Nothobranchius furzeri: one gene and its partners. The protein of the gene in region 1 interacts with the protein of each later gene in a pairwise test. Links are inferred from orthologs where the notes say so. Each region holds a gene or a part of one and is shown on either strand. Other genes may lie near its edges. The genes, in order: pex5, ech1 and acot8.

Region 1 (4,376 bases):
TCTCACAATAAGCTCAGTATAATTACAAAAAAAGTAGAAGAGAGAAAAAGTTAAGGAGAAATTAAAATCTATCCCGACACATCCGCTTAACACGACGTCAACAACATTCTCAAGGTTTAGTTCTGCATTCAGATCGGCCATCTTTTGTTTTGTCCCGTGCTCCTCTCTGCTTTTACTCCCCCACAAGTGTCTTTCCTGCGCTCAGGCTTTACCGACACTCATAAAGCGATTCAAGCTCTGCTCTCACCATTCAGTCTCCTTGTCTCCAAGGTCCCCCAGCCACAGTTTCTCCTCAGACTGCTCCAGATACTCTTCTGCCCAGCGTCCAGGATCTGCAGCAGGAGAAGGAAAAACAGTGAGCAAAAAAAGACAGATTTGTCACGGATCTCATTATAAAACAGAGAGAACGAGTGCACGGAGTGAAACACAGACTCAAATTACCTGCAGCCTCAGCGATAAATTCTTTGGTCCAATCAGCATCTGCCGCCTCGCCGAGAGCATTCAGCCCCTGTGTGGCAGCAGAGTCGGGACCCGAGAGGAACTCGGCCGCCCAGTCACCCGAGAGGGCCAGTGCTGCTACATCTGGAGCTAAGACCAGGAAATGCTTCTTAAAACTGTTTTTGCATTATTAACACACGGGAACTTCTTAAAACTGGGACATAAAGCAGATAAGATAAAAGATTATACACATGAAATACCTCTCTGTGGAGCTTGTCTGTAGCTCTGCTGATCAATTTGCTGCATTTCTTCCAACAACTGACCCATGTCAAACGTGTGTGGGGGTCGCGGAGGCGCCTGAAGGAATTCATTTACCAACTAAAACATAAAAACACAAAAAAAGGCTAAAAGTGGCTATTTGAGAGATTACATCCAGAAATCAGAAACGTGGTAAGAATAATATTCTAATGCCTGACGAAAAACATCACCGACCTCTTCCTCTGTTGCAATTTCAATGGGTGTGGGGGGAATCTGAAAAAAGTTCAAATAAATAAATAAATGATGCAGCTAAACAAAAAAAAATTAAAATAAAATAAAAAAAAAGAAACACAACTCACTGTGGGTGTCAAGCGGTGCCGCCATGCTCCTTCTTCTTTGGTCATGTGACTGGTCAACTTCATGAGGGGATTGGCCCCCCCACATTCCGCCTCCACCAACTCCCGCATCGCCATGGCAACACAAGGATGAGGCAAAGCCAACCACACCACCTAGGACTACGAACAGAAGGAAATCTTCTACTGCTGCGTTTGTTTTAAACCTTCTCAATATAACAGTAACACCCCCATTGCTGTTAGTGCAGCACAGCTGGTTAATAATAACAGGAGATCTAACACCGTTACAAATGCTTGGTGACGCTTTCGTCCTCTTATCTGCTTAAGCAGATTTCTTTCAAATATTTTAAACAAGCTTGAACTAAATCATTGGCCAGTGTGAATCAAAAACATATTTTCCACAGCAGCTGGCTAGGTTGTCTGGACTGCAGATGCTTCTGTACCTACGCATAGTAAATCCCCAAGTGGTACCTTAACAGACACGTTCTGAACAAAGCACAATGAAAAGGAGGTTTATTTTTACTGCAGATTTGTTTTTAAACGTCCGAAGGACAACTCAAATAATTTTTGCTTTGATTTTACAGTGAATGGGTCAGAAAAGAGAAACCTGGAAGCTGCACAAGTGGCTTCACGTTGCATCGACGAGTTTAAACTCCCATCTGTCATTTTTTACATCACTTCCTGGCTTTTTCGAACCGTTACTAATGAGAAAGCAATGGCCTAGGAGGCACACAAATATCATCTGCTCCGTGCTTCCAGTAAGTTCGGCTCATTTTAGCAGCAACATTGTCGATGAGAGGAAAGGGCAACAATATTTGCAAAATAAAAATAACAGATTACAGTTATTTTATAGGAATTATTTGGTATAAGTAAATCATTTGTGTCACTCACCTGATCTGCCAAAATAAGAGTAACAGCACAATTTAAACATATATACAAACAATAGAACTACTGCTGATCACTGATCTCCATGCCCAAGAATGAACAGCTGACAAAAGGGTACATTTAGCCTACTCAAAATCTCCAACTCTCCCTGGAGGGATGTGAAACAATTTCCATAATGAAATGCGTGGAACAGATTTTTAATTCCACTCAGCTCTTATTTTGTATCTAAACCACCAAGTACAGCATTACACAACCCCGTCCATGCAGGTGGACGGAGTCGCTGCTCTCATGCAGAATGTGGACGTGAGTTTTCCTACTGAATCACACAGCTGCTGCATTATGATTAGGGTCAAAGTAAGAGGCTTAGACAAAGATATTAATACAGACATTATCACTGATAGGCCACTGTGACACATGTTTGTACACAACACATCTACTCAAGAGACATGCTGTAGTTTTAATACAGATGGCCCACTTTTGTGGAAAAAAACTGAAATCATAAAAAAGATGTTTTTGAATTGTGCACACCTGTCAGTCAGCGTTCAGATATCTAATGGCCCACGCGCTAACTAGCTAAAGACCCAGCAACAACATTAGCTTTGTTATCTCTTGTAGCCTCGTGTGGGCTCAATAAACAGCACATTAAAAAGAAGATGAAAACAATTAGCAACAATTTAGCTTTTAAAATAGATGTGCTAAGTGTTAGTTGGCAAGCTAGCAACCCAGGGCCAGTGCACAGGTCTCCACCCGGAGGAGGAGTGTGTTTACGGGGTAGCGTGATGTTCATCTCACCGCCGACAGCTCCTCCTGCTGTAGCCGAACAGTCGCTCCGCGCCGCTCTGTTTTCCGTCCTCGCCGGATCCTTTCTGGGCTAAAGCTGGGTCAGAACAAATCCTCCAGCACCGCCTCACAGCCTCCGCTGTGTGTTCGTAGTAGCGCCTCTTTTCTATTTACCTTCCTCCTCCATGACCCACAAAACCTTTCACCGAGCTGCAAGAGGCTCGTAATTCTACGTACTCTACGTAGTTGTATTCTTCAAATATTTACGAACGTGGAAGTCGGGCTTCTAAAGGCAAAAGAGCACGTACGTTTACGTAAAAATATGTGCAAGAGACTAAAGTCCAACAAAAGCAAGAGATGTTCCCTTCTGTGGAGTCTTTTATTTTAGGAAAACCTATCTTGTGTTTTTAGTTTAACTAATAATTTACTGACTAATTAGTCAGCCAATATAAAGAAAAGCCTCACAGGTTGTCTTTGCAGCTTGGGTGGAGTCAGAAATATCCAGGTGGAAAAAAATAAAGATCCTCAGTGCAGCTGACCAAAGAACCCAAGTCTTTCAACATTTGGGGAAAAGGATAGTTTGGGAAAGTCTCAAAGTATAAAGGTCAAACCTGCAAACCATCATTCAGGTATTTACGGTTTTCAAGTCCTCAGGCTTTTGAGCACGAAGACTCTTCATGTTACAGTGATCAGATCAGCCAAGTGTTCTTGGGGGCCCCTTGGAAAACCATTACCACTGCACAAAAGCCATGACTACATCCAGGAATGTAAAATTGCTGTGCAAAGAGGAAGCAATAAATCAACACTGTGTAGAAACAATGATGAGGTCTTGGGACACTAACTCATCTCAGATGGACAAAAAAACAGTGGATATGTTCTGTGGTCAGATGAGTTCACATTTTTGGTTGTTCTGGACAAATAAAAGAGATACTGAGCTCTGTATACAAAAAAGAACAACCGTCAAAGTTCTCATTAGGTAATAATAATTTTGCTCATTCATACTTTTGTAAACAAGAAACCTGCAGTTCAACAGCCTGATTTAACAAATTCTAGCTCCTAAATCTAACAGAAGCATGCACTAAACTGGAAAATACGCTCATATTATTAAAAAATGCAAAATATCTGTGGATTTTTGAATGAAAACACCATTATTATTATTATTAAAGGTCCAATATGTAAGAATGACAAATGGTGCAGTGGCTACCACCATTGCCTTGCAGCTACAAGGTCTTGGGTTCACATCCTGGCCTCAAATAGTTTGCGTGTTCTTCCTGTGCACACATGGGTTCTCTTGGTTAATTGGTCTGTCTAAATTGTTCTTAGGTGTGAGTAATAATAATAATAATAATACATTTTATTTAAAAGCACCTTTCAGGACACCCAAGGTCACTTTACACAAAACACGTAATAAAATACAATAAAACAATAATAAAACCCAAAGAAGAAAAAACAGAGAGAAACATTTCAATAAAATCAGAGGTTGTAGGCAGATTTAAACATGTGTGTTTTGAGTTTTGTTTTGAAAAGGGTAAAACTGTCAACGTTCCTGATGTCTGGGGGAAGTGAGTTCCAGAGTCGAGGAGCAGAGCGGCTGAAAGCTCTGCTCCCCATGGTAGCGAGACGGGCAGAAGGAACCGCAAGATGGATGGAAGAAGAAGATCT
Region 2 (2,678 bases), on another chromosome or scaffold:
CAGTGGTGGTCTTCCTGTCACCTGTGTGGAAAAAGCTTCACCAGAGCCTCAACAAAAGACAGAAACCCGGGCGAAGACGCATGTTCAACCTCAAGGTACTGATTTTACACATAATGCATGTTTTATTGTTTCCTTTTGCCATGAAAAAAAATCACAAGACCCAGAGGTAGGGACCTTTTGGACACAAAACACGTTTTCCTTTACCATGCCTGTGCATCCTTTCCTTTTTTTTCTTTTTTTTTTTTGTGAATGTAAATTAATTTGCAGCTTTTGTTTTAACTTGCATGTGTTTTTCCCCTCAGTGAGAAACTTCAGACTCAAAAATGCAGATAAGGTGAAGATCTGCACACCTGAGCAAAGGAAACATAATCTTTCTGAGATGCACATAAGAACTCAGAGGTACCATTTGGATAATTTCACTTCCACTCCTTCCACTCAGGAGGATTCATCTAGACTTTTCTCTGCAGACTTTATGAGCAGCTGGAGGAGGTGAAGCAGCAGAAAACCAAGACCAGACAAGAGGATTATGCCAAAAACCGGATGAAGGCAAAGGAGTTCCACAAGGTAATATTTAATTTTATACCGAAAAATTCAGTCCTGTTAACATTTGTGCTGACGATGAATTTTTCTCTCCACAGAAAACGTTACAGAAGCTTCGTGCCCAGCAGACTCGACAGTGACATTAAGTCATCTTCGTCACATTATCTTAGTGTTTTAATTTAATTTATTTCACTTTAGTTTTTTTTAAATCAATAAACTATTGAAACAGTTTGCTGTGAAAATCCATTTTTGATTTGCAAAACATTAACAAATTCAATCAAATGGCTAAATTCAAGATGATAAAAATCAACAGAAAATAGGTGGGGTCCGTCCCCCCCGTCCCCCCCCCCCAAAAAAAACATTTGTTACGACGTGCGTAAAAATGGTATTTGTGCTTCCTGCTACTTTGCACAAACTGTTCACAATGGGAGACACACGTCTACATTCAGCTTTGGTGTTAGCAGCCCAGTAAAGACTGAAAACTACACAATTCATCTTCTCACACAAAGGCCACAGCGGACAGGTGGAACCTGCTGCTGCTCTCACAGTTTGGAGAAAACCACTGCTTTGGGACTCTTCTTCTCCATGGCAGCCTGAGCTGATTTCATCACATCTTCTGTCTGAAGCATGCTCATGTTCCATGTGGCCTGGAAAAGTGTCAACAGAGTCAACTTTAGCACAAGGAACTAACAGGAATAGCAATTTTCTGATAAAAATGAATGTAGCACCTACTACAAAAATCCTGGTAGCTCGATATTAATCTGATGTGCTCTTACCATATAGTTCAGTCCCTCGGCCACGCTGTGATCTCTGGAATAGAGCAGGTTTTTTTTGGTTCCCTGCACAGCCACAGGGCTGCGACAAGCGATCTGTCCCGCCATCTCAAGGGCTCCAGCCATCATCGCCTCTTTATCTGCAAACACGCGGCTGCAGGGGAGGAAAAAAGGTTTCTTTGCTGTAGTTTGAAAGTTTAAGGAGTTGAATTTGCCTCTAATCTTCAGTTGAAGTGATCAATTTCCCTAAAGGTCTTTCCATGGTTTTGTTGGACTTCTGCAGCTTTTTCTCATTTTAGATCTAGTCTACCCTAACTTAAACTGGGAGCCAACTTAATGACACAGTATTTTCTCTGACTTGACTAACAACCGCAGTCCATTTTAGCCCGTACGTGTGATCCTGCTGGTAATCAGGAATGTGTTTTACCTGACGAGTCCACTGCTCTTGGCTTCATCTGCAAACATCTTCCTGGCTGTAAGCGCCAACTCGTTCACCAGACTAAAAAAGCAAGAGATAATTACAATAAACATGGATTTCAACAGAAAATAACAAGAACCATAACCCCAGTTTGTTAAAATGTTAAGTTTCACCTTCGACTGCCTATGACTTTAGGAAGTCTCTGCAGAGTTCCAACGTCTGCTGCAAGTCCAATATCAACTTCCTGTCCAGTCAAAATACACAAACCCAGTGCTATGGAAACATCTCTACACATTTATATTAGTTTAAAAAATCATTAACTTTGGAAAGGAGTAATTCTTGCTGTCTTAATTTATTTTTTATTTCACCAAATGATAAAATCAGCTTAACACACCTTAACCTGAAACCAGGCATCCTGGGTGCAGAGACGAATGTCACAAGCCGTAATCAGGTCAACACCTGAAATAAAATAAACATTAATATTGAACTCATTGACTAATTTTCTTCTACTAAAATCAAATTCATGAAACTTACATTTCAATCATGCTAACTGTGCGTTTTCTATCTTAAAATTAGTGACTCAAAAAGAAACAAAACAGTGGTTCAGTGTTTAAATCTGTTTATGCAACAGGTGAATCCTATAGGAAGCACAAATCATGGCTTCAGCAAGTTCGTCTCAGTTTTAGTATTTTATCTAAAGATACTTCTTGGTGAACGTCACTTGAGAATTTCTTTTGTGCCCTACCTCCTCCAATACAGGCGCCGTGAACAGCCACCACAACAGGCTTTGGACACTACAAGCAGATAAGAATAACTTCATTAACATTCCTGCGTCATTATTTGTCCAATGCATGTGATGAGGAGCTCTGACCTTCTCTATGACGGAGAACGTTTCTTGATATTTGGTGATGGTTTTTCTGAGGTTCCAGGAGATTCTTGCCACGTCG
Region 3 (2,899 bases), on another chromosome or scaffold:
CAGTAACATGTAAATTAGGTTACTTTTCTCTGCTGGTGGATTTTAGAAAGTAAACATTTGTAAACAGCAAAAATGAGTTTTTCAGTAAACAAAGTTTAAAAAAATATCCAATTCTTTGGTAGAAAAACTGTTTTAGCCATGAAAGTGGAATAAAGGTTAACTTAATTATTACTTAATACTAACAAAAACAAAACAATGGAGGGCTGTGAGGGCAGGTTGTTATAATATAGGGATTTAAGCCAGTGAAACCTAAACATTTTAAAAATATTCTCTACAAATAAAAATGTAGTTATAGAACTTGTTTTTGCCAAATGCAAACATTTGTATAAATAGATTTTCATTCCATTTTACATTTAATAACATCCAATTAGCAGAGTCAACACTGGCCATGTGACAAACCCATCTGTAGCCATGGCCAAATAGCAGGGATGTGCATTTTTGAAATTCTGTCGATACGATACATATCACGATACAGGGGAGATGATACGATATATCACGATATATTGCGATACATTCAGTCAGACGTTACAATTTTTTTTACTGAATTTATTGAAAGAATGTTCAATAAACAGTCCAAACTGATACGTAACATGTTTAACATGAGGTATCTGAACCATGATGGAGGGATTTACATTTCAATGGTGGAAACAAAACCCATTGCACACTGCTGCCAACTAGCGGGTGGCGATTGAATTGCACAAAATGAAAAAAAAATACACAAATGTTTGCATGTAAATTCTTTCAAGATTTAGATACACAGCTTTTGAATATCGATGTAATAATCACAGGAAAAAATATCACAATATATTGCCATATCGATATTTCCGATACACAGCTTTTGAATATCAATATAATATTGCTGGAAAAAATATCACAATATATTGCCATATCGATATTTCCGATACACAGCTTTTGAATATCAATATAATATTGCTGGAAAAAATATCACAATATATTGCCATATCGATATTTTCTTACATCCCTACTGGTTAGTCTTTCCAGCATAATCAGGAACTGAGATCATTAATAATTTCACATGTGAGACTATAAGTCTTTCATTAAGACATACAGATCATGACATTATTAAATAGTCTTGTTAATCTTGTCAAATGTTATTGGCAGAATGAAAGATGGCGGTTATAATAATAATCGGTATAACTGGTGTTGCTAAAGTTTGCTGGTGTGTGTGACGGGTTTGACTCTCAGGACCCCCTCCTGGGAACACGTAGCAGCCAGGACTCCATCTCTCCTCCACAGCCGGCCTTGTGCCAGGCCTCTACTGCTCCCTGTAGACACAGAACAAAGAAAAGGTCTTTCAAGTTCAAATCCATCACCGTGCACTCGACTTCTACTTTTATCACATGTTGTGTGATACTGTGTTAAACAAACACGAGTTTTGTTTCGTTGAGAGAAAAAATGTGTAATAATTAAATGCGTCCACAGCTACGTTCCCACCATAGGAGCTGAGGAAATATTTCTGGGTGGGAAAAGGGACCAGGAGAGAGGATGGCTCGGTCCTCCCTGCCGGTGCGTCTCCACACAAATGCAGCACTTTCAGGACTTTGCACAGAAGTAAGCATATTGTGACTACTTCAGCAGTGAGTGATGTCACAGATCAGCGCCAAAAAGTATCCAAGGACATTAATGACATTAGAGGTTTTATTTGTCAAAGTACGCAGTCATTTAGTCTGTTCAGGGGACTGGCAGAAGTGCTGTGTGATGCAAAACGCAGCATCTCATGATCAGAAAAAGCATCTTTTTTATGGTTCTCCAGCAAAGCGCTGGTAATTACCAAGGATGCACCGATAACACTTTTTATCCGATACGATACTGATACTTGGATCTGAGTACTCGCCGATACTGATTACTGATACTTCTACCATACAAAAATGCCATGAACTGGAATACAGGTTTTACTTTATTCTCTGCTTTCAACAGGAAAAGTCTGTGAGGAAGATAAAAATAAAATATATGAATTAAAATGATCACAAAACTAAAATTTTAGGTGAACAGAAATGACAAGTTACAGTGAAGCTAATTTCAGGCAACTGCACTGGTATTGGCTAACTTTTGCTGATACCGATAAAGATATTGGTATCGGTGCAGCCCTAGTAATCATAGTACTGTGGGGGAGTTCCACCACGTTTTAGACATTGGGGGTTTAGAAACGGCCATTTTAAACAAAGGGGAACGTTGCTCTTATGTTTTCTTTTCACTCTTCTTCACCAGCTACTCTTCCAATTTTCCAAATGCGGGTTTTTGGCGACGTTTTCTGATGCAACTTCCTACTGAGTTACAGCCAATCAGCACGTGTTAAACACAAGTCCCAATCAGCGACTCTACCGAGCCTTTCAGAGAACATAGCCCAGTTCAGGTAAACGACCTGTGTTTGTATAGCGCCTTCTTAGGGTTCTACAACCCCCCAAGGTGCCCATTCACACGCTGGTGGGGATGAGCTACAATGCAGCAACCTGAACCCACCTACTGCCGAACCCTGGCGCCATCGTTTCCTCAGACCACCACCATCAGGTGAGGCAGGTTAAGGATCGAACCTGCAACCCTCAGATTACCGGACAACCCGCTACCTCCTGCAGTGTGTCTGTGCATGCGAACGTGCTTGTTAATGGCTCGTTTCTACGACTGACATTTTTGTGGTCCACAAGGACGATGACCTTGGCAGTTTTGGTCTGCTCTAGTGTTTTTACTCAGGAAACAGAGGAAAACAAATCAAACCCTGGGACTGAGAGCAGTCAGCGGCAAGTCTTAGAGAATATTGAAAGTGTCTGAGAAAAAAAAACAATAAAAAACGTGCTGACCTGCCCATGGACTCTCACATTCATACAGCATCCACTCATCACTTCGGAAAGTGCTGTGGAACCACATGGCGTGGTCCAGAGAG

What was found.
Region 2: the proteins of pex5 (region 1) and ech1 interact in a two-hybrid assay, tested with the Homo sapiens proteins (2 studies listed by BioGRID and IntAct, with this or other methods). The link is inferred for Nothobranchius furzeri from reciprocal best matches to the Homo sapiens genes PEX5 and ECH1.
Region 3: the proteins of pex5 (region 1) and acot8 interact in binary tests that used the Homo sapiens proteins (3 or more experiments, as listed by UniProt). The link is inferred for Nothobranchius furzeri from reciprocal best matches to the Homo sapiens genes PEX5 and ACOT8.

What each region holds. Positions count from the first base shown.
Region 1 is NC_091745.1:74,164,849-74,169,224, reverse strand, and holds the start of pex5 (peroxisomal biogenesis factor 5), read right to left. Parts: upstream 2,932-4,376; 5' UTR 2,727-2,931; intron 1,212-2,726; 5' UTR 1,170-1,211; coding exon 1,056-1,169; intron 970-1,055; coding exon 931-969; intron 817-930; coding exon 699-816; intron 589-698; coding exon 442-588; intron 333-441; coding exon 248-332; intron 1-247.
Region 2 is NC_091753.1:47,221,888-47,224,565, forward strand, and holds the end of ech1 (delta(3,5)-Delta(2,4)-dienoyl-CoA isomerase, mitochondrial), read right to left. Parts: coding exon 2,603-2,678; intron 2,526-2,602; coding exon 2,477-2,525; intron 2,191-2,476; coding exon 2,126-2,190; intron 1,976-2,125; coding exon 1,905-1,975; intron 1,813-1,904; coding exon 1,741-1,812; intron 1,468-1,740; coding exon 1,317-1,467; intron 1,188-1,316; coding exon 1,083-1,187; 3' UTR 681-1,082; coding exon of another isoform or gene 639-680; 3' UTR 565-638; downstream 1-564. Other genes in the region: cep295 (serine-rich adhesin for platelets), read left to right, coding at 1-95, 303-399, 468-564, 639-680. UniProt on the Homo sapiens protein: Isomerization of 3-trans,5-cis-dienoyl-CoA to 2-trans,4-trans-dienoyl-CoA.
Region 3 is NC_091743.1:41,527,037-41,529,935, reverse strand, and holds the end of acot8 (acyl-coenzyme A thioesterase 8), read right to left. Parts: coding exon 2,817-2,899; intron 1,287-2,816; coding exon 1,168-1,286; 3' UTR 522-1,167; downstream 1-521. UniProt on the Homo sapiens protein: Catalyzes the hydrolysis of acyl-CoAs into free fatty acids and coenzyme A (CoASH), regulating their respective intracellular levels. Displays no strong substrate specificity with respect to the carboxylic acid moiety of Acyl-CoAs.